2 linked regions of the Diceros bicornis minor genome follow. The protein of the gene in region 1 interacts with the protein of each later gene in a biochemical or structural test. Links are inferred from orthologs where the notes say so. Each region holds a gene or a part of one and is shown on either strand. Other genes may lie near its edges.

What was found.
Region 2: the proteins of FOS (region 1) and RUNX2 form a complex in vitro, tested with the Homo sapiens proteins (2 studies listed by BioGRID). The link is inferred for Diceros bicornis minor from reciprocal best matches to the Homo sapiens genes FOS and RUNX2.

What each region holds. Positions count from the first base shown.
Region 1 is NC_080763.1:23,183,754-23,198,284, forward strand, and holds FOS (protein c-Fos), read left to right. Parts: upstream 1-6,803; 5' UTR 6,804-6,939; coding exon 6,940-7,080; intron 7,081-7,853; coding exon 7,854-8,105; intron 8,106-8,512; coding exon 8,513-8,620; intron 8,621-8,744; coding exon 8,745-9,386; 3' UTR 9,387-10,191; downstream 10,192-14,531. UniProt on the Homo sapiens protein: Nuclear phosphoprotein which forms a tight but non-covalently linked complex with the JUN/AP-1 transcription factor. In the heterodimer, FOS and JUN/AP-1 basic regions each seems to interact with symmetrical DNA half sites.
Region 2 is NC_080753.1:20,600,042-20,615,096, forward strand, and holds the start of RUNX2 (runt-related transcription factor 2), read right to left. Parts: upstream 5,642-15,055; 5' UTR 5,615-5,641; coding exon 5,237-5,614; intron 1-5,236. UniProt on the Homo sapiens protein: Transcription factor involved in osteoblastic differentiation and skeletal morphogenesis. Essential for the maturation of osteoblasts and both intramembranous and endochondral ossification.

The sequences.
Region 1 (14,531 bases):
GCTGGATTGACCAAGAAGCCAAGTAAGTGCGTCCTGGGGCGGGGGCAGGGACGGGGGTGGGGGTAAGGGGCATTCAAGAAAGAATTAGGAAAACTGTACCAGTCGGTCTATTTATTGAGTGCCTGCAGTTGTGCCAGGCACTGTTCCTGGCACTGGGGAACTGGCAATTTTTCTCTCCCTCATGGAACTTACGTCCTGGCATGATTTCAGCATACTTGTAAGTTTTATTTTTTCAAATAAAAACTTATTTTGCAATTTAATATTGTTTTTATTTTGGATTACTTGGGAGGGTACCATAGTCATTTTAGTATTGGGGCCATAAAAGTTTTATTATGGCACTATTCCCAGCACTTTTAAACGAAAACACTGGTTAGGTTTTTATCTTTATGCCCAACATTTTCTAAAAAGTTGCTTGTAGTACTAGGCTGAGTTTGTGGAAAAGAAAGGATCTGAGGGATGACCCACATCAGATGAAATTTCTCATTGTGCTGATCACTGTTTCTGGGTGCGGTGGTTGTGGATTTAAAACTACAGCACCCACACCCTCTTAAATGGCAGGTAGTGGAAGCATTTAGACAGCAGATATGATGGGTCTGTACAGTTCTAAGGATGGGGGTGTACCCTTTCTGCTTATAAGTGTCTAAATTATTATGCCTGGTATAGAAGGTGCAGATCAGGCTTTTGGTTCCCCTCACCGGGGATGGTGGTGGTGGGGGCACAGGCAAGAAGTCACCCATCAAACCCCTTCATGGAAAAAGAGAATCCGTGCTGCCTTCTCAGACACATGGGCAATAGCTGACGACCTTTCTGTTTAACGTTCATTCATTCCACCAACATTTACTGAGTGCCTATTTGTGTCAAGAAGCATAGGCACTGAGGATAGACACCTACTGAATAAGACTCTGCTTTCGTAGAGTTTATGGCCTTGTGGAGGAAGATAGACAATGAAAAAGTACATAAATAAATAGAGTAATGTAGTTGATAAGTCCTACATGGAAAATAAACCGGGTAATGTGACAGACAGTGACCGAGGGGCAAGGAGGAGGAATGCACCATTGGATGGGGGACAGGACAGGCTTCCTGGAGAATGTGCTATTTGAGCAGATATTGATCATGAGGAAGAGTCAACATATCAAGATCTGGGGGGAAGTGGGAACAGTGGGTACAAAGGCCCAGCTACAGAACCAGCTTGGCATATTCGAGGAAGAGAAAGAAGGCCAGTGTGGCTGGAGTGGAGTGAAGGAGGGAAAGTGTTTCTGGATGAGGTTGGAGGGCTGGGTAGGGGGCCCGGTCACACAGACTTGGTAGACCTCGGTAAGGAGTGTAGATATTTTTCCAAGTGTACTTCTGTAAATTGGCCACTAAACAAATTTGGAGGGTTTTATGATTTAGTGTCTAGTGTTATGATTAAAGTCAGAGCCCCACTAAGTGGGAGAGTAGACTTTCACTGTACGATCTGCCCCTAAGTTAAGCGATTACCTCACAATCTTGGGAGGGTTGGAGTCTGAAGGTAGATTTCTTCAGTAGAGTCATTTTTGGGATTTTCACAGGGAACTGTAACTCATTGACACTCCACGTAAAACATCAGGGGGAAAATCAGGCCTCAGCTGGGAGTTGCAACTGAAAGTTTTCTTGTACAACACAATCAAATATTAAACTAAGACAAAAAGTGTTCACATCTGAGGATGAAACTATGATCTACAGATCAGAAGGCAGCATAACTCTGAATTCCTACATACTGGTCAGGATTTTCCGGGTTTAAGAAAGGGGATTTTTTTTTGTTGGCGTTATAATTATTAACGTCTCTTTTAAAGATCTTTCTTGTTGAGTGAGGTGGTGGATAAAACGGTTAAACTATGCTTGAGATGTCTTAAGAGCTTGGAGTATGTCACGTGCCACCCCATTTTAGCCATCCCTGGCCCGGCGCATGCCGACTGTGAGGTTTTCCCGTTGGATGGGAGCCCTGCAGTTGAGGTTTCTCAATGAGGGTGTGGTGTTTTCCTATAGGCTTAGTGACGTAGATGAGGTTCCTTTGGAATTCTAGCAGCTAAGTCCACCAGAGCCGAAGAAGGTCAGCTCAGGACGTCTGGGGAGCTGACAGTCTGAAGAAGACTCGCTGTCTGCAGAGGGGGAGCTCTTGTTTCTGCAGCAAGGTTCAGCATGACTGACAGAATGGGGGTCCGATGCTGCTGGTTGTTGTGGTGAAAGATGCTGCGAGCTTGGGCTGAAATGCGTCCTTGTTAGGCACCATAGCTGTTCCCCAGCTTCCTCAGCTCCAGATGGAGTGTGTCCCAGGGACCACACAGAGCTTTGTTTAAATGCTCGCATTAGCGGAAGGACGGGGATCCCATTGAATCATCATCTCCTGTCAAAAAGCCAAGAGTTGTTCAGAATGAAAACAGTTTTTCCCAAAGAGGCTAAATCTCTAGTACTAATTAGTAGTGGTAGTGGAGTGTGTGTGTGTGTGTGTGTGTGTATGGTGATGGTGGTGGTAATCCCATGCCTCCACTGTTTTAAAATAGGGGCAGTCTTTTTGCTCGATGTCTGAGCCACAGGGTGAGTAACTTTGACCTCTAAGACCCTTCATTGGGCTCACATGTGTCTGAGTCCTGCAAAAATTGTGGGAAGCTTCTCCCCCTTGGGTCTAGACATTTAGAATGAATAAATTAGAGGGTGGTGGTAACACGGTCATTGTCATTCCAGACAATGTGACATTTATGTATGGGCACTGGCTGTCTTTCTCATGGAGCTCAATAACAAGGATAAGTTTGATCTTTCATCACGAACCGCTGGGGAGTTCTTTATACACAAAAACTGCACCAGCTGAAAATAGCCCTAACATCTTGTTATTTTCTCTTCCCCAATTTTTGCCTATTCATACCCAAGAATAGAAGACTCAGCCTGTTCAGCCTTTCCAAAGATTTAAAGAACATTATCTATTTGATTTCTAAGTACCCATAAAGGACAATAATATATATTCACCTTGCTTGGATGAGGGCATTCATTCATTCAACAGATATTTATTGAACACCTACTATGGGCCAGGCACTGTGCTAGGTGCTAAGTGAATATCAGTACACGAAAAAGGCAAAGGCCAGAAGTATGTAGATGCTAATCAAGCGTAAGAAGCGATTTCCCCAAGTTCCTGAAGGAGTTGATTTTGCTATACGCATCTTCCTGACTTCTGGTCCCGTGCTCTGACCACAACCCTTCACCACTAGACCACACTTCCCCAAATAAATAACTACTTCTGCATGCTGGGGAGGGGTTGTATGCGGCAGCATTTACGTAGGTGGCACAGACAGCAGCCTTTCACTTAATGTTGCAATAACACCAGGCTAAACAACGTGCCCCGACTTTCAGAGCAATTGAACAAATGCTTGATGTGGATCAGGTCTCTTAATTCAAATGCCAGAGAAGTGCAAAATAGGAATAGCCTCTATCTGATAAGGAAGCACTGCTGAGGAAAACTGAATTTGTTTTCAATTTGGGTTAAAATCAGATGTGGGATGCTGACCTCTTTTTCACTTTTGGATCTCCAGACAGGAGGAACTCATCACATAGATAATCGCCAGCTACGTAAGTTTGGGTTTTATATGCTTAGACTTGTCCAGAACACAGAATCCCCGCCCTGCTGGAAGGCAGCACCATGCTTGCAGAGGCACACACATCTGTCTCAAAGTGACCCTGACCTTTGAAAGCAGCAAAGATAATTTCACATGTTGGTTCTGATTTCCCTTTATTTTAAGGCTACACCATGCGAACTCCATATTAAAAATGTGATTTTGCAGTCCTGAAATGGATACCATGAGTAGATTGAGATGTGAGAGTGTGTTAGCATGACCACGGGTTCCTATGTTAATGGGGCAGGAGAGGGAGTCTGAGATTGTATCGTCTGATACTACTGCTTCTGGTTGAGCACTTGCTTCCCTAGATAATGCTCTGGCATTTCAATCTTCATCATGTCATTTCCCAGAGAACAGTGGATCTGGGTCCCATCGCTGTTTTGCAGTCACTTCCTCTGATACTTGTGTCCAAACCTTCTTCTGTGTTCCACAGCACCTTGTTCTTGCTTCTGTCAAACCACTTTCTGCTGCCCTGCAATTCTCTAGTGATTTGCCCGTCTTCTCCACGAGGCTGGAATCTCTCTGAGGGTAGGGACAGGTCCACCCTGTTCATTACAGTGAGCGCCAGCCCCCAGCACAGTGCTTGGCCATAGGAGGCTCTCAATAGCCCTTTGTTAAATAAATAAAAGAATGAACGAAAGAAAGAATGGTTCTGTCCTTTTCAGGGGATGGATTTACTAAGTCTCCAACTCTCTGGTCATAATGGTGCCAGGAAGGAAAGAGTTAAGCTTTCTGGAGAAGACAGGTTCATCCAAATACCCTTTTCCTTTTTTATGTGTTGGCAAAGGCAGGATAAGCGATAAATGAGATAAATCCTGGATATAAAATCTTGACACATCCCTTGGGTGTTGGCCTGAGCTGCTTCAAGAGTCTGAAGGGGAAGTAAATGAAATCATTCTAGGTTTTCTCTTAAGCGGCCTGAGATCTAGTTATGAATGGAAGGCAAGCCCAGACCCAGGAATTCAGAACTTGACCTACTTTGTCTGAAGCTAATAATAATGAGAGATGGATTTACCTTTATAACTTTTTTTCTTAAATAATCAAGGACAGTGATGTAGCCTGGCAGATGACAGAATTTGGAGAACTGAAGGAAGGCCACAGAATTGCTTTACGATTCAGAGCAGCTCCAAGAAGTCTGTGTTTATGTATTATGTGTTTTTCCTTTTCTCTCTCCTTTTTTAAGTGAGAAAAAAATAACCCGCCTTAATTCCCACCAACATAAACCAGTGACATACAATGATGAAATTCTGTTTTCACCTCTGCCTGTGACAGGGAATGCAAAAATAGCAAGTGGCCCAGTTCCACGAATCCCCGCCTCCCTGCCCTCCCGGCTCCCGCCGGGTTCGCATCTCTAAGAATGGAGGTTAGCGCACAGCCGCGCGCTGGCCCCGCTCAGCCCCCGGACCCGGCGGATGATGTCAGGCGGCGGGAGTGGCCGCAGCCCGGCCGGGGAGGCCGAGGCCCCGGGGGAGCGAGGAGGGAGGGGGCCTCGCCAGGCCGACGGCGCGCCCCGCCGCGCGGCGTCGCCTGGAGACGGCCCTGGCGGCGCAGTGTTGCTGTAAACAGCCGCTTCCCTGTTACTATCTATAGCAGGATCGCCTGGCTCCGGGGTGCGGCGGCGGGAGGCAGGTCGGCGGTCCCGCTCCCCCCGCGCCCCGAAGGATCCGCCCGCTGCCCTAATCCCGCCTCGCCCCTCTCCAGATGCCCACCACGACCTCCGGGCCCGAAGAGTGGGGGAAGGGACACAGAGGCTCTGCGGGGACCTTCGGCTTCGCGCCCCGGAGGTGGCCGATACGCTAGGATCGAAATGGGGCAGTGTGACCCCTGCGGTCCTTTGCAGGGAGCAGGAGGCTGGGGGCGTCTGGGGGCGCAACGCACTCCTCGAGCACCTTGCCGCCCCAAAGCCCCCATTTCCAGGCCACGGAACCGCGCCTGAGGTCCCAGCGGCGGAGGTCTCCGGCCTGGGCGCTGCTGGGCATGGTCCTTCCAGCGGCCCCGGTCCTCCCCCCTCCAAGTCTGCGCTGGAAAATCACCCGCTGCGGGCTCCCTGTATGCCCAGCTTCCTGGGGGAACGGAACCACTCCCACCTCAGCAGCTCAGACTTGCGCCCCTCCAAGAGCTCACTTCACTAGGTACCCCGAACTGACGACCTTGTCCACATAACACCCTCCACCCCCACCCCCGCTCCATGCCCCGGGCCCCCCTCAGAACCAGGCAAACGCACGCTTCAGACATCCTTGCATGAAGGTTCTGCACGATGTTTATTGGCTAGTGTCTCAGGGATTTGACAGTAACGCTAATATCCCCTATAAGGCTGAGAAAAAAAAATGCTCCTTTTTCCTTAAAAACAAAAAAATTAAAATTAAAATACCCAGCATCGTAGACAAAGTAGGTTATCGTATTCTCTTATTTTGGATCCGCCGAATTTCTGCTTCCAAACGCAGTTAACAGTCCTAGTATTGCTCGAGCCCGGGGGTTTCAGGCGAGGGTGTGAGGGTCTGCTTCCACAGTTTGCACTGAATCAGGGCTAGAATCGGGAATGGGGGTGGAGGCGCATTCCTTCGGGGGCCGAGGCTTAAGCCCTCGGGGCGGTGTACCTGTTTCTTCCATACCTGAGCCTCAGAACTGTTCCCTGGTTTCTGTACACTGGCAAAAAGGCGCCCCCACTCCACCCGGGGAACAAGGGTCCGCATTGAACCAGGTGCGAATGTTCTCTAGCGTTCTTCGCCTTTCCCGCCTCCCCTCCCCCGGCAGCGGCCCCCGGCCCCCCCGCGCTGCACCCTTGGTGTTGGCTGCAGCCGGCAAGCAGTTCCCGTCAATATCCTCCCCCCTTTACACAGGATGTCCATATTAGGACATCTGCGTCAGCAGGTTTCCACGGCCGTTCCTTGAGGTCGTGGGGGGAGTCATCCCCGAAATCCCTCATCTTAAGGGGTCCACGAGACCCCTAAGACCCAGGTTGCTAAACACTCATAAGATAAAGAAACACAACAAGACGGAGGGGAGGGGGCTGCGAGGGCGGCGAAGGCAGCTAGGAGGCTGCAGAAGTGTCTAGGTCCGCGAGCCACCCCTGCGGCGCCACGATGGTTGCGCCCATGACGTGTTGGGCTCATTCATAAAATGCTGTTATAAAAGCAGTAGCTGCGGCGCCTCGTACTCCAACCGCATCTGCAGTGAGCAGCCGGGAAGCTGAGACAGAGCCAGCGGCGGCGCAGCGAGCGAGCAGTGACCGCGCTCCTACCCAGCTCTGCCCCACCGCTCCTACCTGTCTCCGCCCCTCAGCCCCTCGCCCCGGCTTTGACTAACCGCGACCATGATGTTCTCCGGCTTCAACGCCGACTACGAGGCGTCCTCCTCCCGCTGCAGCAGCGCCTCCCCGGCCGGAGACAGTCTCTCCTACTACCACTCGCCGGCCGACTCCTTCTCCAGCATGGGCTCTCCCGTCAATGCGCAGGTAAGGCTGGCTTCGGGCCGCCTCGGTGTCCGGGCTCGGGGTGGCCGGGGAGGAGACACCGGGGCGGGACGCTTAGAAAGACGAGTCAGTGACCCCTTTCGGTCTGGAGGGAGGCTGCCCCGGCTGGAGCAGCCCCATCTCGGGAGCCCGGGACTCCTTCGGAGCGCAGGCATGCTTGTCATAGTAGGAATTGGTTCTCCTTTCCCGCGGCAGGCTCATTCTGAGCTGCCCCCGGCCCGCGCTCTCTGACTGGTCTCTGACATTAGTTGGAGCAAACGTGTCCCAAGCAAAGACTCGCTAACTAGGGCCTGGCTCCTCCGGGGAGGCGGCAGAAAGCGGCAATCCCCCCCTCCCCTCGCAGCCTGGAGCAGGGAGGAGGGGCTGGGGAGGAGGGTGAAGCAGGCGGGTGTGTAAGGCAGTTTCATTGATAAAAAGCGAGTTCATTCAGGAGACTCCGGAGCGGCGCCTGCGTCAGCGCAGACGTCAGGGATATTTATAACAAATCCCCTTTCAAGCGAGCGATGCTGAAGGGATAACGGGAACACAGCAGAGGGATGGAGAAGAAAGGCACCGCGCTGCGGAATTCTTGGGAGGAAAGGGGGAGACCTTTCATCCAGGATGAGGGGCATATAAAAAGACATGAGCGGTCCATGACAGGACGGTTTCTCCTCCCTCTCTCTCCCTGCTGCATGCGACACTGGGAACTCGGCTCGCTCCACCTGTGTCCAGAACCTGCTCGCTCACGTCAGCTTTCCCCTTCTGTTTCGTTTTAGGACTTCTGCACGGATCTGGCCGTCTCCAGTGCCAACTTCATCCCAACGGTAACTGCCATCTCGACCAGCCCGGACCTGCAGTGGCTGGTGCAGCCGACCCTGGTCTCCTCCGTGGCCCCATCCCAGACCAGAGCTCCCCACCCTTATGGAGTCCCCACCCCCCCGGCTGGGGCTTACTCCAGGGCTGGAGTCGTGAAGACAGTGACAGGAGGCAGAGCTCAGAGCATTGGCAGGAGGGGCAAGGTGGAACAGGTGAGGAGTTCTTTGGCACCCACTCTCTGTAGGGAGTGGGCATTGGTGTAGATGGGGAGCACAGTGGAGAGGGTACAGCCACTGATGGAACTGACCACACATCCTGAACAGGGAACCCTGGCTCCAAGCCTTTTCCATCCCAAGTCAGACTCGGATAGTCCCATCCCAAGAAATATCCTAATAGGTTCCTACCTCATGCTTTTAGACTGGGCTATTCTTTCTTCTCTTGCTGAGGATCTTATTTGAAATGCAAGTCACACCCAGCCTGCAACTGCAGGTTAGCAACGGCTTCATAGAAAAGGTGCCAGGAAGCTGGGAAGCCGCAGGAGCCAGTTTCACTGGGGTGGGTGAATGGAGCTGATGGCAGACACTGTTACTGAATGTTGGTCTTCTTTTCTTTCTTTTAGTTGTCCCCAGAAGAAGAAGAGAAAAGGAGAATCCGAAGGGAAAGGAATAAGATGGCTGCAGCCAAATGCCGGAACCGGAGGAGGGAGCTGACTGACACACTCCAAGCGGTAGGTAGATCCTGTGGGTCACTCCTTTTTAAAACTTAAGAGGAAAGTTGGAGATTGGGCATAAGGGAGCAATGTCCTTGATTGAGACTGTGTCTTATGCTTTGCTTTATCCCTCTGTATACAGGAGACAGACCAACTAGAAGATGAGAAGTCTGCTCTGCAGACGGAGATTGCCAACCTGCTGAAGGAGAAGGAAAAACTAGAGTTCATCCTGGCAGCTCACCGACCTGCCTGCAAGATCCCCAATGACCTGGGCTTCCCAGAAGAGATGTCTGTGGCTTCCCTTGATCTGAGTGGGGGCCTGCCTGAGGCTGCCACCCCCGAATCTGAGGAGGCCTTCACCCTGCCCCTCCTTAATGACCCTGAGCCCAAGCCCTCAGTGGAGCCTGTCAAGAGCATCAGCAGCATGGAGCTGAAGGCCGAGCCGTTTGATGACTTCATGTTCCCAGCATCTTCCAGGCCCAGTGGCTCTGAGACCGCCCGCTCTGTGCCAGACATGGACCTGTCTGGTTCCTTCTATGCAGCAGACTGGGAGCCTCTGCATGGTGGCTCCCTGGGGATGGGGCCCATGGCCACAGAGCTGGAGCCCCTGTGCACTCCGGTGGTCACCTGTACTCCCAGCTGCACTACTTACACGTCTTCCTTCGTCTTCACCTACCCCGAGGCTGACTCCTTCCCCAGCTGTGCGGCTGCGCACCGCAAGGGCAGCAGCAGCAATGAGCCCTCCTCTGACTCGCTCAGCTCACCCACGCTGCTGGCCCTGTGAGCAGGCGGGGAGGGGAGGCAGCAGGCACACATAAGTGCCACTGCCCCAGTTGGTGCATTACAGAGAGGAGAAACACGTCTTCCCTCGAGGGTTCCCGTAGACCTAGGGAGGACCTTATCTGTGCGTGAAACACACCAGGCTGTGGGCCTTAAGGACTTGAAAGCATCCACGTGTGGACTCAAGTCCTTACCTCTTCCGGAGATGTAGCAAAACGCATGGAGTGTGTATTGTTCCCAGTGACACATCTGAGAGCTGGTAGTTAGTAGCATGTTGAGCCAGGCCTGGGTCTGTGTCTCTTTTCTCTTTCTCTTTAGTCTTCTCATAGCATTAACTAATCTATTGGGTTCATTATTGGAATTAACCTGGTGCTGGATATTTTCAAATTGTATCTAGTGCAGCTGATTTTAACAATAACTACTGTGTTCCTGGCAATAGTGTGTTCTGATTAGCAATGACCAATATTAAACTAAGAAAAGATATGACTTTATTTTCTAGTAGATAGAAATAAATAGCTATATCCATGTACTGTAGTTTTTCTTCAACATCAATGTTCATTGTAATGTTACTGATCATGCATTGTTGAGGTGGTCTGAATGTTCTGACATTAACAGTTTTCCATGAAAACGTTTTATTGTGTTTTTAATTTATTTATTAAGATGGATTCTCAGATATTTATATTTTTATTTTATTTTTTTCTACCTTGAGGTCTTCTGACATGTGGAAAGTGAATTTGAATGAAAAATTTAAGCATTGTTTGCTTATTGTTCAAAGACATTGTCAATAAAAGCATTTAAGTTGAATGCGACCAGCATTGTGCTCTTTTCATTCTGGAAGTTTTGTAAGGTTCTGAAAGGTATTTGTTGGAGACCAGTTTGTCAAGAAAGGCAGCTCCTGGAGAGGGACACACCCTTTGTTTGATCCTTTATCAAAGAGAAGGAAACTGTAGAGCTGATGTTGGAATATTTTACAAATACGCGTCTTCACATTGCAATGCTCAGATTCGCTACAGATTCTGGGGGTGGGAACATGCTGTGCATTAGCTTTCGTGGGAACATGTCTTCCTGCTTCTTTTTTTGTTTCAAAAGTCAAAGGGGGGAATATTTAAATCTAGTTGTGCTAATATTAAATTTAAATGTCTTGATCTTAAAAGAATCCTCGCAGCAAGTAGAATTAAGCTTTGCACAAACCACTTTTTAACTTTTTATTCCCACAAAATCATGTGAAGGGTTACTTCTACCTTAAAGGTGAGCAAATTGAAGAATGATTAGAATGAAAGACCTTAATATTCCACTGTTGGGATTGGAATCTTAACTTCCTCATTCATGACCCCATCCATCAGGCTGACCTGCGTCTTTAATACTTGGTTGAAAAAAAGTTTTCACTTCGTTAGGGAAAAAATAAACTTCTCAGTCCTTAACTCTAACATACATACATTTAGTTGGATTATTTTTATTCTCAGAAGGAAAGGAAGGCTACTGTTCTATCCCTATGTAATAAATGTATTGTAATTTCTGAAGCTTCTTTAACATCATACGCCTAACATTCTGGGGGAAGAAAAGGCTGGCTCAGAAGTTGAAAGAGATCTCAAACAGTACAAACAATGGTTAATCATTCAGTAAATAAAACATTACGCAATAGCTCAATAGGGAGAAGTCAACATTACCCTGAATAAGCTTTAATTTAGAAATTTTATCATCTTAAAGGAGAACATGACCTTTGTCTGGGACACCTCTGTTAATGGGGCACTTACACGCACATGTACAAACCACCAAGAAAGGAGGCGGCGCCCTTCCTGCCCTGCTCTCAGGATTCCTGCAGGCACCAGGCTTGGACGCCAGAGACCATGTTTGCTGGGTGGAAGAGGAGCTTCAGTGCCAACCTTCTAATGCTTTGGTGATAATGAAAATCACTGAGTGGTTATGGGGTGTCACATTCCATCAAGTTGAAAGTCTTAATTTAAAATGACAGTTCCACTGAGGTTGACGTTCTCACCTATGATCTGAGATCTACTATGATCTGCTCCTCATATAGTCATTAACATTTGAAAGCAACTTACTTTAGACTCTTAAGAGCACTGATACATTGCACACCACTTGCATATTATTTTTGCCTGTCTGGCAATACTGAAAGTGGCCTTAGACTCCCTGTTTGCTGTTTAGAGGGTAAATTTCCTGTAGCCTTTAAATATGACCTAAACTAAATACAGAATTACTATAACTAACACCCAGATCTGAAATAACAAGGTGATATACACTGTTAGGGAGCCAGCTGGCTCCCTTACATGTATAGTAATAACAACCCATGGAAGGAGATTTCCCAGATGGAGAAGGGAGGCTGGACCTCTAGCCCTGGACACTGAACTGCTTCTGGGGACCTGACTAATGGCCTCTGTCAGCCCCATGCTGACTACAGAGAGAGAGCATTGATTTCCCTGACAGCCCGGGCCCAGGCCTGGACACAGACCTTTCCTCTAGGTCACCACAGCCCAGCTGAGACCAGGCTGCTCCATTAACAAGACTGCATTAGGGGGCTTGCCTCGTGGTGTAGTGGTTAAGTGCGTGTGCTCTGCTGCTGGCGGCCTGGGTTCGGATCCCGGGCGCGCACCGATGCACCACTTGTCAAGCCATGCTGTGGCGGCGTCCCACATAAAGTGGAGGAAGATCTGCACAGATGTTAGCTCAGGGCCAGTCTTCCTCAGCAAAAAGAGGAGGATTGGCATGGATGTCAGCTCAGGGCTGATCTTCCTCACACACACACACAAAAGATTGCATTAAATGTCCAGGGAGGGGCCAGCCCCGTGGCTTAGCAGTTAAGTGCTCGCGCTCCGCTGCTGGCGGCCTGGGTTCGGATCCCGGGCGTGCACCGACGCACCGCTTCTCTGGCCATGCTGAGGCCGTGTCCCACATACAGCAACTAGAAGGATGTGCTGCTGTGACATACAACTATCTACTGGGGCTTTGGGGGGAAAAAAATAAATAAAATTATAAAAAAAAAAAAAATGTCCAGGGAGAGGGACTTACTCACAGGGAATCTCTTTAACAGGCTTCTCAAAGGCCTATTATAGGGTGCCACATAGGGTTGACATCCCACCAAGCTCCCTGCTATTTTCATGGGATCAAGAGAAGAAAGGAAATCTCTATCTTTTCAGTCAAAGGGCTCTTTCCAAATCCTTTCCTCACTCAGGATTCAACAGCTCCCATGGATGAGGGACACTGGGAATGTCAACTTCCTTTTGGGAAAGACTCTGATCCCTACCCACAAGATATGGCCTTACATTGGTCTCAACAAAATAACTATCTCAGGACACCATGTTCAACACTGATGTAAAAGATGCACATATAATGGCAGAGGATGGGAATAAGGATGACAGGGGTCATTTCCTGATGGGGAGAAGGTCTAGTTTAGCTCATCAATAGATATCCAGACCTGGCTCAGTGCCTGGCATTTAGTATAGGGTTAATGAATATTTGCCGGGTGGGTGAATGAATAAATTCTGTGCTATTACAACAAGCAGAAATATATTCCACATGTATTCTCAAAATTCTCCTATTCCAGGCCCTGTTATGATATTAAGCAATGGGGATTTCATATCTTTTATGTCTGGCTTCAAACACATACCCCACTTCCATCTTTGGCTCCTGGAATTCCTCCACTGCCTCCCCTGGATCATCTCTGCCAATCAACTTCAAAGTGAATGAACTGCCATTGCGCTTCTGGCTCTAATTAATTTTAGGTGGAAAAAAGGTAGAAGAAAAAAATATTTATCTCTATATGACAGTGGATTGTAGATTCTGCATCATCTTTGCACATCCCTGCCTCTTGAGTAATTATCAAAATTAAAGGGTAGCGTTTAACAATTTGTTCTAATAACAGTAATTTTGCATCAACAACTTTCCATGTGTGAATGAAAGTAAATCAATTATGCCATCTTTAATTAATGGACAAAGAAGAGACTGAGGCAAAGTAAAAGTTCTTAAATGATTACTCTAAGGAAATCATCTGAAGTTTCAATATATATATATTTTTTTTGGTGAGGAAGATTAGCCCTGAGCTAACATCCGATGCCAATCCTCCTCTTTTTTGCTGAGGAAGATTGGCCCTGGGCTAACATCCATGCATCTTCCTCTACATTATACGGGACACCGCCACAGCATGGCTTGACAAGTGGTGCATCGGTGCTCGCCTGGGATCTGAAACAGAGAACCCCGGACCCCAGAAGCAGAGTTCGAGCACTTAACCGCTGTGCCACCAGGCCGGCCCCGTTCAATGATTTTAAATTTAAAAAAAATCTAGGGGCGGGCCCCATGGCTTAGCGGTTAAGCATGTGCGCTCCACTATTGGCAGCCCGGGTTCGGATCCCTGGCGTGCACTGACACACTGCTTTTCCAGCCATGCTGAGGCTGCGTCCCATATACAGCAACTAGAAAGCTGTGCAACTATGACATACAACTATCTACTGGGGCTTTGGGGAGAAAAAGGGGGGAAAAAAAAGGAGGAGGAGGATTGGCAATAGATGTTAGCTCAGGGCCGGTCTTCCTCATCAAAAAGAGGAGGATTGGCATGGATGTTAGCTCAGGGCTGATATTCCTCACACACACACACACAAAAATCAATCTTTAAACTGTGTATGAGATGACTTTTTATTTATTTATTTATTTATTTTTTCCCCCAAACCCCCAGTAGATAGCTGCATGTCATAGCTGCACATCCCTCTAGTTGCTGTACGTGGGACGCGGCCTCAGCATGGCCGGAGAAGTGGTGCGTCGGTGTGCGCCCGGGATGGGCCGCCAGCAGCGGAGCGCGCCCACTTAACCGCAAAGCCACAGGGCCGGCCCCAGACTTCTTCCAAACACAGAATAATCAAATTCCTCAAAAGATAAATGAGATATGAGCATCACTTGAATGCTGAATATCAGAGCCCTTTAAGCTGAGCTGTTTTGCTATAAACATTAGAGTTAACTCTTTTTTTGTTGTTTTTGTTTTGTATTTGCAGAGTCATTATGAAAGAACACTGCCGAATCTAGCTCATGCATTTACATAACAGTGAAAACCCCCTAAATCTAGTATATAAAAAGCGGTTGTGACACCTTAAACCTCCGTAGTGCAATAGGGCCTGTCACTTATATGGAGTGGTCTGCATCAGTT
Region 2 (15,055 bases), on another chromosome or scaffold:
CAATAAAAGTTGTTTCCACACTACCCAATACAAAAGTTCTGTCCTGCAAAGAATAATTTGTGATGAAATCTTAACAATTACTTTTCTAGGTGTTTTTAAAATACAAAATTTACAAATTCAAGAAACTTCATGGGAAAGAGGGAAGTCATTTTGTGTCCTAACATTTCAGAATAGAGAAACAAGTTCCTTTATTTAGCGCACCTCACTATAACCAGCATTTAAATCACATGATACGTAGCTTTTTCAAAATAAAGTAAAAAGCTATTTAACTCTAGAAACGCTATTGAAATTTTGTTTGAGACTCCTTATGATTAGATCTGTGAATTACTCTGAAAGAGGAGCAACGGAGAATTAACTCAGACCCTGAAAATTGTTTCTGTGGTCTTATTATATGGAAATTAAAATTGCCTATGACATATCCATGGACAGAAGTCTAGTCTTAACTAATCAATTACTGCTACGGACCAATATCATTTGGCACATTGTACTTGCCGCAAAATTGAAATATAATTATTTTTCAAGATAGAATCTGATCAAATCCTTCTTTGGAATAAAAAGAGAGGTAAGGAACTAATTGCAAGAGGAAAAGTTTTATTCCTATAGTAATTATTTAAAGATAACTTTAAATAAACTATCAAAAAGTTCCACAAATATTACAGCTGATTTTTAGAATTTAACCTAGAATTTAGGAAAATCCAACTGAATTGTAGAGAAAAAAGGCAATACAATATAAAATATCATTTCGTAATTTTTAAAATACATGTCAAAGACAAATTTGATGGGAATTATTTCAATTTAAGCCAGGAATTTGGGTGCCATGTATCAAGCTGGTTTAAATCATCTAACAATGGATATTCTGGAATTTTGAAAGAAAACAAACAGCAATGCCAAAGGGGAGAAAATAATAAAAGATATCTTCCCATGACTGTTTTCAAATATAAGTTTTTTTTAATTTTTTATATATTTATTTTCCATTTAAAATCATTTAGATTACCTTACTAATAAGTTTTACATATTGAATCCTAAAATTTTTAACTTTAAATAATTTTTACTGCATTTAAAGACATAACACAAAAATGTGTCTGCCCTCAGACAACTTGAAATCTATTATGATTTACATAATTTGCATAACAATTCATAGTAGGCTTAATAAGGTTTGAACAGATTTAATAACCTGTTTTCCTTTGCGTAGGTATAATTACATTCAAAAAGACACAGAGATGAAATCTGATCATTAAATATATAAGGAAAATACAACTCACTAGTGTCAAATATTTATTAGTTGCCTACTTGTTTTTGAAGAAAAAAATGGCCAATGATGTTGAAAAAATTATTTTCAAAAAGAAATTGCTCCATCATTTTGAAACCCTACTTATGACAAATACTGAAAGGTCTCATTAAACATATAGAATTAACTATGAGTGATAGATCACATATCTAAAAATGTGTTTTCTTTCTTTAACATTGCCAGAAAAACATATGATACTAGTAAATATGCAGTCCAGTGTTCTCTAACTTAAAACAGCACAATAGTCTTGCACTACTTTTAGTTTTAAAATATACATCTGGACTTAAACTTTCCGCATAGTGTTTCAGCAGGAAGCTATTTAAAGCAACTGAGTTATGAGCCCTGAACACCAGGTTTCACGGTGGAAATGCTGACAGAGCCCTAACTGGAAGGGTGCTACTGGATACAGGGTGGACATGTTCCTCCACCACTTCTACCTGACCATCAACTATTGAGCTTAATTTGCAAACAGCTTTTTTGTCACTAGAATTATCTAGGACAGAAAAGGCCTGGGATCCTCTAATAGTATCCCTTAACTATTTTAAGCTTTCAGTGAGATACACCTGAAAGAAATGTTAAAAATATTTATTTCCATTTCCTTGACACCTGGGAGGACTGAACATTTCAAAACTGTAGAACTTTGTTAAAAATATAATGCTAATAAACAACTTTACATATTTTAAAGTGTACTAGTTGTTTTTGCATTTTTCCATGTTGAGTATAAACGAATTAAGTACTTTTGTGTATCCCCAAAACAAGATCTTTTTTTGTATAACCCCAGATCTCTACTAATAGGTTACTTCCGTCTTAATACTATAGGTTATCAATATCATTTTGAAGCACTATTTTAAATTAACATATCAAAACACAGTCTATTGAATTCATTTCTGATTCTCTACAGTGCTGAGCTCAGTGTCACAGACATAAAATACGGGCCCAATAAATACCGTATTGATTTGAATACCAGACTTCCCAACAATTGAGTTCTCTGTGTGTGTTTTTAAATATATTTACCTATCCTCTATCTACCACACAACACTATAATTTACTTTGCACATAGCTCTAAATATGATAGCCAAATTGCTATCATCACTTTTAAAACTAAGACTTCATATTATTTCTTCATTGCAGATGTATTTGATTATGTTGCAAGAGTGAAGAAAGTCTATTGCTCTCAGGCTTTTATCTCGAAAGTAAGGTAAAGAGAGGCTGTTTTTACTAACGTTCAGATGAAAATAAAAACTGTTGTCAAAATCTAGATGTTCCAAATATCTACACCTCTTTTTCAGCAGAGACAAAACTTCTATATTGAGTGGATCTCAGCTATCATCAGCTATCTGAATTTTGTTAAACACAGGCATGGAGGTGGAAAACATTGCGAGTCAAGTTTTAGGTTAACTGTTTTTCAATTAAAATATATAATTTTATATGTCCATGTGTTGTCTACGGTTTTGTTTACTGTTTGAAAGTAAAATTACTCTGTAATTAACAAGTATAACTAATAGCAAAGAAAGCAATTTATTTTCAAAATTAATTTTAAAATGGTGGTAATGAGAAAATCTAAAGATAACCAAAATATCTGAGAAAAGCTCAAACTAAATTGCATTCTCTTTATGCCAAAAACATCTTTTCTATCCAAAATACTAATACTCAAAATTAACTCAGCAGCATAAACATAAGAGAATAGTTTAAGACAGTTATACCTAAAATACGTTTAGCAGAACAAACGGAATGTAAAACATCGAACATCTAAAGGATATCTTTAAAAATGTAGGCACCTATCCTTATATTTTCACATATCTTGACTTGTGGCATTGTATAGACAAAATATCTACTTATTTGCATTATTTGCTGTTTTCACTCAGGTTTTTTGTTTATGTTTTGAGGTTTTTTTTGGGGGGGAAGGTTGGTGGAAACAAATTTCTCACATAAGGCTAAATAGAAAATTCTAGGCCCTTGGACGATGAACATTGTAAAAGATATCTCTTGTATGGAAATTCAAACTTCTACAATTCACATATATTCTGAGTTTTTCATATTTCAAGGAAGAAAATATAACCTACAAAATGGGTAGTTTACAAAAGGAGAAATGGGACGGTTAAAAAAAAAAACACATTTCTTGAGCCAACTGCAAAATGAAACTTGCCCCAGAACGCAACATCCCCTTTCCATAACAATTCATTCTGATTTCTTTTCTGATATAAGACCCAGCGAGATACCCAGCTCTAATTGACCTGGACTCCTCTTTCCACGCCACCCACACACGGAATCTGAATTGGTGCGTGGGGGGCAGGGGGCCGATCAACAAATGGGAACTGCCGGTGGCCCGTGGGAGTTTCGCCCCAGGATTCCCAATGCAGGAACTGGCACGATTCCTCCCCATTTTCCCCCTCCCTCAAGGCCTTGCTCACCCTGCTCTCCAGAGACCCCAGAACCCAGGGGACCCAGGCCCACCTTCACGAGTTCAGAGGCTACACAAGGCCGGAAGCGCCTTTCGGAGCGCGCTCTCCTCCCTGTCTGGCTCATCGCCCCCTCCATCCCCGGCGTCCAGTCCCGCGAGTGAGGACAGCCCAGGAACCCGTTTCCCCATCAACCCGCCGCGCGCTCGGCCTCGGGGGCTCCGCGTCTCCCCCTGGCGAGGGCTGCCCGGGGAAATCCTGATCGCATTACGGAACCCCCTCGGGCTCCTGTGAGAGGCTCGGGACCTGACACCCTCAACCTGCAGCGCCGCCGCCTGCGATCCCGCCGCCGACACCCGCCCTCCAACTAACGGGCCGGGCTGGCGGAGGAGGCCGCGGGGCGCGCCGAGGGCGCTCTTAAGCCCCAGGGGTCACTCCCTCCGCGCCCAGGCCACCGGCCCGAGCCTCCCACGACCTTTCAGAAGCAGGAGGGACCCGTGGGATTTCAGTCCTCTGAAAGTCATCGTAAGACAAATCCGCACATTTCATCTCTGTTCAAGGCGGGCGAACTGAAGGCATTTCACAGGTTTCCTCATCCCTCCCAGGCGGGGCGCAGCGGGGAGCTGGTCCGGGCTGAACCGGGCGGCCCGAGCCCCCGCCCCCTCCACTGGCCCGCGCCGCCCCGCACTCGAGGGTCAGGCGCCCAGGACCCGGGCGCGCGCCGACCCCAGCGGCCCCGCCTTCCTCCGGTAACGGGAACTGGCGCGGGGCTGTAAGCCGCGCAAACGCCCCCGTCCTGTCTCCCTCTCACCCTCCCCGGGTCCCTAGGTTCGCCCGGGACCCTCTTGGACACGCGTAACGCGGCCCACGGGCCGCAGCCGGCACCCGGCGCCCAGTCGCGGGCGCGAACGCCTGGCGCCGGCGCCCCACGAACAGTGGCCCCCGAGCCCGGGAGGGGCCGGGCCGCTGAGGCTCAAGCGGGTCAGAGAAGGGGTCGCCGAGACGGGTGGCGGGGCGTTCCGCGAGGAAGGAGGAAGGTGGGAGCGCGCGGAATCCAGGCGAGGGGGGCGCGGGCAGCCCGCGGTGTGGGGTCGCCGGGATGCCCGGGGAGAGGGGATGCCCCGGAGTCCAGGGGAGAATGCCGGGGATCCTCGCCCCTGGGGAGTGGGGGGCGGGGTGGAGCAAGTCGGGGTGGCGGCGCAAGGAGTGGGCACCTGGGGGCTGCTGGGGGGAGGGGAGACGGCTCAGAGGAGTGGGTTAGAACATGGGCCGGGAGGCTGGAGGGGTGATGAACGGATGAAGGGGACAAGGGCTGCGGTGGTGGCTGCGGGCACAGGTGGGAGAGGGAAGCATCTGCGCAGGGTCACTGCGCCCTGAGCCCGCAGGGGGATCTGGAGGAAGAGGGCCAGCCAGGGGTCCCTCGGGTCAGAGCCACCAAGGTAGGAGGCCTTGGAGGCCGTCCGGGCGCCGGCCCCCGCGGGCAGAGAGACGCCGGCGGGCAGGTCCCGCGGCGCCCAGCCGGGGGCGGGGGGCGGCCGCAGCTGCTTACCTTGAAGGCCACGGGCAGGGTCTTGTTGCAGCGCCAGTGCGAGGGCAGCACGGAGCACAGGAAGTTGGGGCTGTCGGTGCGGACAAGCTCGGCCGGGTGGTCAGCGATGATCTCCACCATGGTGCGGTTGTCGTGCGGCGGCCGCAACCGGGGCACCGCGGCCGCTGCTGCCGCCGCCGCCGCCGCCGCTGCCGCCGCCGCCGCCTCTTGCTGCTGCTGTTGCTGCTGCTGCTGCTGTTGCTGCTGCTGCTGTTGCTGCTGCTGCTGCTGCTGTTGCGCAGCCACCACCGGGCTCACGTCGCTCATCTTGCCGGGCTGCAGGCTGCTGGAGGGGGGGCTGAAGCGCCGGCTGGTGCTCGGATCTACGGGAATACGCATCACAACAGCCACAAGTTAGCGAAGTGGCCGGGGGAGGGGGAGGAGGGTGGAAATGAGGGGCGAGGAGGAGGAAATTGGGGGGGGTGGAGGCGAGACGGGGGAAAGGGGATGGAGGTGATGGGGCTGAGGAGGTGAGAAATCAAGTTCGATGAAGCCAACTGCCGGGTGGAGTCTGACGGGCCCCGCGGTGGCGGTGCGGAGCAGTTGGGTTGGCGGGTGGGGAGACCCGGGAGGCGCTGATCCTGCCGAAGCCTTTGGAACACCCGGGGTGGCAGCTGCGAACCGGCGCGGGGATGTGTTTCGCCCGGCGAGGCGGGGGGCTTCAGTTTGCAGCTTGGAGTGGGGTCCCTTGGGGCACCACGTCCTGGGTGCGCTGGCGCCCCCTCCCAGTTGGAGTCCGGCGGTGGAGCGGAGTGAGTTCAGCAGTCCAGCTCCGGGGTCGGCATAGCCGCGCGCCACCCGCCACCGCCGCGCCGCGCCACGCCGAGCGCAGCTCCCCAGCTGCAGGCGTCCGCGCCGCCGCCCGCCCGCGCCGCTGCCGCCGCCTCCTCCGCGGCGGCCGCCGCTCCCCCCGCGCCGGCTGCACGCTCAGATTCCTCCCGCGGCGGCTGCCAGCCCGGCCCCCGGGCTCGGCTCCTTCCTTTCCCTTCTCTTCTTCTCGCCCTCTCACCGCCACCTCCTTGCATCCACTCCCTCCTGCTCTTTGCAAAGCTCCCCTGATCCTCGCGCTTCGAGGTGCCCAGAGGTAAGTCGCGGGCAGCGGAGCTCGGGGCAACGGATCTCGAGCCTGCGAATCGCAGCCGCTGCCGCCGCCCGCCGGCCGCGAGAAGGAGCCCCCCGGACGCCGCGCGCAGCTTCCGAAGCCGAGAGAGGCGGCCCCGGTCTAGGGGGAATCTCGCCTGGTTGCGTCCTCTTGCTTCTCCCCCCTCCCCCCAGGACAAGGAACCCCCTCTTGGTCGGATGAGGTTGAAGCTGAGACGCCAGAGAGCCGCCGGCTGATCTGACTGTCGTTATTTTTCGTTGTAACTTCAGGAGAGGAGGAAGGAAAATTCTTGAGCGTCTGTGCTGACTTCTCAGTACTCTTCACCCTTCCCCCACCCCACCCCCACCTCTGCCCGAGCGGCTCCTGGGGAAAAAAAGATTTTGCAGGGTTTGGGTGCTTTTTTGTCTTAAGTGACACAAAAAATTGGGGTGGAGGGAGCACTTGTCAAAATAGTTTTTAGAAACTCAAGTGGGTGGCTGGACACTTTTGTCTTCTATATTCAAACTTGTCGTTCCTAGAGAACAAGGATGAGTTTTTTTAAGGACTGGAAAACTGTCGGCTTGATGATTAAAATAAGTTGCAAAAACCTTGCTGGGGAAAAACCCCAGCAGTCTTCCATGAATTTCAATCTTTTATTAAGTCTATTCTGCATCTAAAACTAAGTCTAATGTCTTAACTTTCTTCCCCACCACTCCCGGGGGGGGGGAATAAAAATACAAAATAAAATATTCAAAATGATTCAATGGCTATTTATTTATGTATTTATTTCCCAACCTGGGTTAAAAAAGCGACTTTGGATCCCCCCAAAAAGTTGTGGTCGAGAGGATGAAGGAGCGCGGGAAAAAAGCGGCAGTTTTACCTAAAATGTGGTTTTTGGAGGCTGGGATTTCTAATGATTAGGTTTTTGTGGTTTATATAGACACGACTCTGGCTAAGGCGATCATTACGCTGATGAGAGTCAGAAGCACGTGGGTGTCTCCGACCAGCCTCAAACTCTGAGCCTTCAAAACAAATCAAACAATGTGCGGCGCCCACAGAAGCCGGGAAATCCGCTTGAGGCTATTGCACCCCTAAGAACGGGGCACAGGGCCCTTTCCACTCCACGTTGTGTACTGCTAAGTTCCTTGCTTACTGTCAAACGCCTTTAACCTCCCAAAGCTTGAAAACGTGTTTGCAAAAAGAATCATCAGTTGCCAAAGTTTCTAAGGTTCCTAATAGCGTAGCTGACACAGTAATAAGTGATTTTATAAAATAAATGAAAAATTATAATGCCTGGCCCTAGGAGTATTAAGGAAGCAAGATAGTTGAGTCATCACTTATCTCCCCTCATCTTATTTAAAACAATTCATACACCCATTAATCGGCGAATTTATTGCTCAGCGCAAACGCCTCTGTCACTCTGGTAGCGACCTGCCACAACCCTCCCTCTCGGTTTTTAAAGCTTTTCTTCCACTGGCTGAGACGGCGCTCGGGGTCTGCGCCTTTGCAGGGGCCTGGGAGAACTTCGAGAGCATCGGGGGCAGAAGGGGGGCGCAGAAGAGAAGACCTGATTCCTGTCACGGACTCTGGAGCCCATTTCAAGCGCAAGATGAACTGGCAGGGATGCAGTTGCATGACTTGGAGACCAGGATTGCCCTCTAAAGAGATGCGAGGGCGACTGAGCGTCTTCCAACCGCTGGAGCAGAGGTGGGGGGCGGGGGGGCTAGGCGTGCGCCCTCGCGGGAGTAAGGATGGGGTTCAGGGGGCACTGCTCTGTCCTTCCTCTTTTGGGCTTTATTTTTACCTTCCCTTTCTCCATTCACAATTCCACTCCTCCCTTGTCCGTCTTTCCCTTTCCCACTTTTCTCTCCACGTTCCCGCCTCTCTCCAAAATCCCCCCACAGACGCGAGCTTCGTCGCCGCGCCCCTCCCGCCTCCTCTGCCTTCCCAAGGCCGCCTGCCACCCTCGGTGACGCATTCTGCATCACCCGCTACGACACCCCCTCCTCAACCTACTCCTCGCCCCTGGCCACCTGGCTTCCAGGCCCGGGCGCCGCCGGGGTGCGAGGACCCCCTTATCCCGGCGAACTTGATGCACAGCGAGGAACCAAGCTGTCTGCTGCGCGTGCGATTTTTAATTATCTTTTCGGTCACAGGGGAGAGCTCTAACCCCGGGCACCGCCGCGCCGCCTGAGCGCACGGGGGTCGACTCTTCCCGAGCTGCACGCGGCCGACCCGCCAAGGGAAGCCAGGCTTACCCATCAAAAAAAGACCAGACTGCATCCATTACTCTGCTACCTTACACACCCACTCACATGCATTCGGACGCGCACTCTCGCACATCCACACTCTGACACTTATAAATACACATACGCAACTCACACACACTCGAATCTTTTATTTTATTCTTTTATTTTTTTGCCTTTTAGCGGGGCAGTTTTATTTTGGGCACGTTGTACCACTGTCTAACAAAGATCTCTGACTTGTTTTGTTTTTAAATGTGTGGGGGCTGCAAAGGAGGGAAGAAGTTACAGGAAGTGGATTATTTCTGTGGTCAAAGGGAGATAGAAATTCAGTAACTACCCTAGTAGGTGATATGCCGCCTTCTCTAGGGTTTTCCTTCTTCTCCCAGGAAGTCCACAGAACGGGAAACTTCCAGAAAAGACGCTAAGTAACAGGCAAGATTTCAAATATGGGCGACCAGATGGGCTTTTTTGAATAAGAAATTCTAGGGCAGTTTGAATTTAAGTAATCATCTTGGGGACTTTCCTCTGTCTTTCTCTATCGCTGTTTTGTCCTTTCTTTGTTTTACTTGGTGGATAGCAAAATATGAAGGCCTCAAAGGTTGAGTCCCTTGACTGGGGATTTTAGGGGCGATTTAATCAATGGTGAATTATTTATTTTAATTAATCATATCCGGTAATTCAGCTTTATAGCCTTCCTTGGGCATCCTCCCTCCATTTCACATTTCAGTGGAACTAATATAAGCAGCTCTTGGAAGTCACTAGTCTTGGATCCCTTAAAATATCCTACAGTTATTTATAATGTGGAAATGAAATTTTCCACTGAATACCCTAACAACGTTTCAGGTATCTGGCACAGCGGGTTTTCAGTCTCCTTTCAAAAATATCCTCTTGCTGAACATTCACACTTTCAACTGGAACTGACTTAGCCTGGAACTGATGATGTCTTGGCTCAGAGCATTATACTTAGAGGAAGAAAACATTTTTACAGACCCCTAAACTAAACCTCTCCTGGTAATAGTAGGCACATAGGAAAACCATGAAATTTTACATATGTGTATTTTGTGCTATAGTTTGCATGATCTCACTCTTGAGTTTAAATTTTCTTCTACCCCAAATGTTCAGAACAAATCACCACTAGATTCCTCTTCAGAGGTATTCATCTTTTCTGTTGTATATTATGGCATAAAAAACAACATACATTTTTCTGAAAATGTGGCTACTTCAGAAGATATAAGCATAATTTTCCCCTCCATCTCCTTTAACGTTTAATATAACTGCTTAGTAACAACAACTGGCAATTTTGACTTTCCAGACAAAGAAAATGATATGTGAAGCAGTCAAGTTATTTATCTAGTCAAAGTACTGATCCCCCAAACTAGGAACAGAACTCATGCTTTCTGCATCCAGGTTTCATCTTTTAACCCCTATACATTATTTTACATATACTTTTTCGTAATGAGAAGTGAAAAAGTCACTGTAAAATCTTAAAATAGTTTTCAATGGACCAGCTAATAAAGTGGGACAACCTTTCAGATGTGCAATGGAAAATCATGGACATAATGATGATCCTTAAAGTTTTGAATGTGTTGTATGGGAAAACGGAACCATCTTTAGCGAGTTTTCCTTTGGACTATGATGGAGTAAAAAAGTTACCCAGCCCTTGTAGAAGTGGCACTGCCACTAGATCAGGCCCAATCTGGCCTGATGCCTATTTTTGTATACACCGCAAGTTGAGAATGGTTTTTGCATTTTTAAGTAGTTGGAAAAAATTTAAAGAAGAATAATATATATGACACATGAAAATGATATGAAATTCAAATTTCAGTGTGCACAAATGTTTTATTGGAACACAACTATATTCATTTGAGTATGTATTATCTGTAGCTGCCTTCACCTAAAACAGCAGAGTTGTGTAGTTGTGACAAAGATTATATGGCCTGCAACGCCTAAAATATTTCATATCTGGTTTTTTACAAAAACGCTTTGTCAAATCCCTGCCCTAAAGTGAATGGGATGCAGGACCCTGGTGGAATGGGATAGCAGAAAGAAGTAAATATTAAAGAAGATATTGGCATGGAGTGTGTATAAGGTCCAGATTAGTCATTTAAAAGTGAAAAATGCTTCATTTAACTTATTCTTTTCTGTATAAAGTGTTAATTAATTAGACTAATATTTTTCACTTAATAATTTTGGATGTGCCAAAATAGGGAGGAAAGAATGAGAAGTTCATGCTTTTTCACAAGCTCCTTAAGAACCATTGTCTTACACATCTCTGTATGTCAGCATGTTCCATTGTCCTTCAGAGTGGGAGCACATTAACTGCATAGATGAGAAAAGAGTAAAGAAACTTTCGTGTAGCCTGAACCTGAAAAAAATAGGTAAGGCTTTAACAGTTTACTTTATCTGTTTTACAGATGATTACACAAGAAACATAAATGAGCTTACCAAGAATTTTCTGGTATATGATATTTTCACAAGTCCTACACGGTATATACTTTTAAGACAGCTTAATAACTTAAGTGATCCCAAAGCCATCTGACATATTTTTTCCATTTTAATTTTTTATACAGTTAAATACTATATGATTTGTTTTAAGCTCACTAATTTTTTCCCTTTGTGAATGGACCTATAATAATTTGCATGGCTGTAACAAGAGATGAAATGTTTGTAGTGGAGGGCTTAGCATCATAAACCTTTCCTTGTTGTTCCAGTTAGCATTCCCATGGGCCATTTTCAGGCCTTTTTAGAGAGTATGGCATTGTCATTAAAAAGCTGACACTGGCCACATGATCTTTCAGAACCACACTTATGGAGCATCTGTCTAATTGCTGTTTAGGAATGCACTGACTAAAGTGACATATATTGTGTTTGACTAAAATACCAACTTACTAAATGACACTGTATTTACCTGAAGAGACCAATGTAATTTCTAAAAAGAGTCTAATTAATTGCCCAGGAGTCAGAGAAATAAAACTAATTTTCTCAAATCAGCCCTTCGGTATTTTAGTGTTGGCAACAGTCCTAGGTGGTAGCAGTAATCTTTGAGAAGTAGTGGAATATTACATGTAAAAGTTTACAGAGGTCTGTGATGAAACATCTAAGAACACCCTAAAATTAAACATTTCCTGTAGTAATTGAACCCTTCTTTATTGATATGCTCACATATTACTTTCAAGGCACCAAGGAAGGTTGCTATCCAATTCTAATCCCATTGCCTAGGGTTCTAAAGTTCGACTTTAGACTTTGGGATGGTGGCCTGAACCATTTATCCCCTCTCCACCTCTGGCCATCAGGGTGAGAAAAGTAAGTCATAATATTCTTGGTCCATCTAACAAAGTACAAAAATCAGCATTTTCTCAGTGTGAGAAATTTGTACAAACTAGAAAGGCAGGAAAAATAGAAAAGAAAAAAAATAGAAAAACAAGTGTCCAACTTGGTTCTATTAGCTGCAATCCTAGGGGATGCCAGTTCTAGGTCACTATACTAAGTGTTTTGCTCCTCTGGATGTCATACTCAGAAACTCTTCCCCAGTGTTTTTCCCCAAGCTTTCCTGAGCTATACTTTTCTCAGAGAAAGCACTTTCTTCTTCCCATCTAGCCATGATCAAGTTCTATAAGCAATGATTCTTTTATCTTCTTTGACTTCAAATGATTCCCCTGAATTATTTTTGTTGGGCAGGATCTATTCCTCAATCACATTCCTACACGTCACTATTTTTCTTCCTGATCATTTTTCTTCCCTAGGTGTGCCACTTATCAACTTATTGCCTCTCACGTCCAAATTCATGCTTTTTACCTGCTCTGTGACAATGGATCTGGGCCCTTTAAATATTTCTCCTTACCAGCTGGCATTGATGTTTTGTCAGTAGGGGGCAAAGGAGAGACATTGCAGGAGGACAGGATTTTGCTTCCTGGTTCCCTAGTGTTCACACAGCAGGTTTCTACAGCCTAGCACAAGTAGCTTCTCCAGCTTCTGGCTCCTGCAGTGCACACACATGCAGCTTCCCCAGGGCCCAGCTGCTGCAGCAAGGGTCGTTTCTCCAGTGCCAGGGTCCTGCAGGGCACAGCCCCCAACAGCCCCCAGCAGCTTCCCCCAGCACCCTCCACCCTTGGCTGTTTTGTAGCAGTGTGCCTCTGGTGAGACACCTACTTGTGAACACATTTCCCCAGCACCCTAAAGGAGAGATCCAGCAAGTTCCACCAGTGCAACTTCTCTGCCATCCAGGGAGCCAAGGCTGTGCTCTCCTAACCAGGTCTGGATCTCAGCCCAGGGGGAGGAAGGAGGAGGACTCTTCCTTGGTTGCTCTATTTCAGTCCTGAGGGTAGTGGATGCTCTTATTCCTGTAGTCTTTAGAGTTCTCTTTACTTTTTCCTAGCCAACTCTTTGTTACTTCAATCCCTTGTTATAGTCAACAATTCTTTATATTAAACTTTCCTTGTTCAAATTACCATGTGGTCTCTCTTTCCTCATTGTTCCCAGACTGATATGCTAGAGTTTTAATTTTCTGGTCCCCAAGATGCTCTTATTCACACTAGTTTCCATTTTGGTGCACTCCATTTGGGTCACTATAAGATGAGTATTTCCATTGTTACATCACATCTATTAAATGATTTATCTCTACCTGATAAGTATATACTTAGAAGGCATATATTCTTAACAGAAGAAGGTGTGGTCAATTCTTTTTTAAGTTCTTTTTTAAATATATTACTAAATGTAAATTGGTCAATATTTCCCCCCCAGAGTCCTCTTGACATCTTCCATGAAATCCTATAGTCCACACTTCAATTAAAATATACATAAATAAAATCACACGCAAAAATTCCAGAGCTGCTCTATGCCTAGATCTGATAAAAACCAGGGCCAAGGAAGGTGGATAGATATCTTGCAGGATCAGAAGAGCAAAACCCTACCCCCGAGGAGAGGAGCGGGGAGCAGGATTATATGATGCTGCCTTATTGTACTTAAAGTCAGAGACTAGGCAATGCTATGGCTCTACAGTAAAATAAAACAGAAAAACACTGGAGGGGCCGGCCCCGCGGTGCAGTGGTTAAGTGCCGGCACTCCGCTGCTGGCTGCTCGGGTTCGGATCCCGGGCGAGCACTGACGCACCGCTTGTCAGACCATGCTGTGGTGGCGTCCCATATAAAGTGGAGGAAGATGGGCACGGATGTCAGCCCAGGGCCAATCTTCCTCAACAAAAAGAGGAGGATTGGCATGGATGTTAGCTCAGGGCTGATCTTCCTCAAAAAAAAAAAGAAAAGAAAAACACTGGATTAAACAAAACAGACCCAGCACTGCCAATTTTCTCCCAGGTTTTAATATGTTATATACATCTTGAATCTCCATGAGAAGAACCTAGAATACACCATTTCCCAAATTTATTTAATTATTGCTTCTGAGTGGACTTAAAGGTCTTTGAACTATTTTTAGAAAATACTGAGCTAAACCAAAGTGGAAAAAAATTTGTTGGAACATTAAAGGGACCATCCAGTCTAGAATGGAATATTGTAATATAGTAGAGAAATAAAGTTGAATAGGCTGCATATAGTTAGGTCTCAGATGGCCTTGGTACCATGATTCCTACCTTATACACATTTACAAGTGGGATAGTGTTCAGGCTGCTTCTAGAAGCCATGCTCTTTGTCCTTGTCCCACTATTCTAGCCCATTACCCTCCTTGGTCTGAACAGGAGAGTTGAAAGGAAGCTTCTCCGGCCACGGCCAGCAGTAGGGTGAGCCAGACGCGTCCTGCAAGTGCAGGGTCGGATCCCATCTTTATTTAAAGTTTTGATACTTTGTTCATGATGGATCTTTTGGTATTAAATTTGATTTTTAAGAATATTGCATTAAAATATTATCTTAAATAACGGGCTTCTTGGAACCCCCTCAAATTTTGCACCCAAGGCCAGTGCCTCAATTCATTTCATCCTAATCCTAGCCCAGCCCTAGCTCTGAGGGTACATGTACAGAACTTACAGAGGGATTCCTAACCTCCCTGCTTCGTCACCATTTACTTTGTTCTTTTTTAAATATATTACTAAATGTAAATACAAATTACAATAATTCCATATTCTCCCACAAAAGAACGCATCTTATAACTCTCAGTACCTAACTGAGGTTTCAACAGCAGATATAACAGAAGAGTTTGACATTCGATAACATGTAAAGGAAGTGTGTGTGTGTGTGTGTGTGTGTGTTTACCTGGTTATCACTCTTTGGCAAAAAATAGAGATCATCTGCTTCTTACTATGCAATTTGAAAAAGGTGACGCTGTGGCTTCTTTGTTGTTTAACTCTGTTTTAGAAGAACTATCTTCAATTTTATTTAAATAAAATATTTTGCAAACACAGTACAGTTAGGGCCTGTTATCTTTCATTTCTAGAACTATATCTTTGGTGTTAAATTAAATTCTTTTAATAAATTAAATGGATTCCCCCGTGATCAAACCTTTACA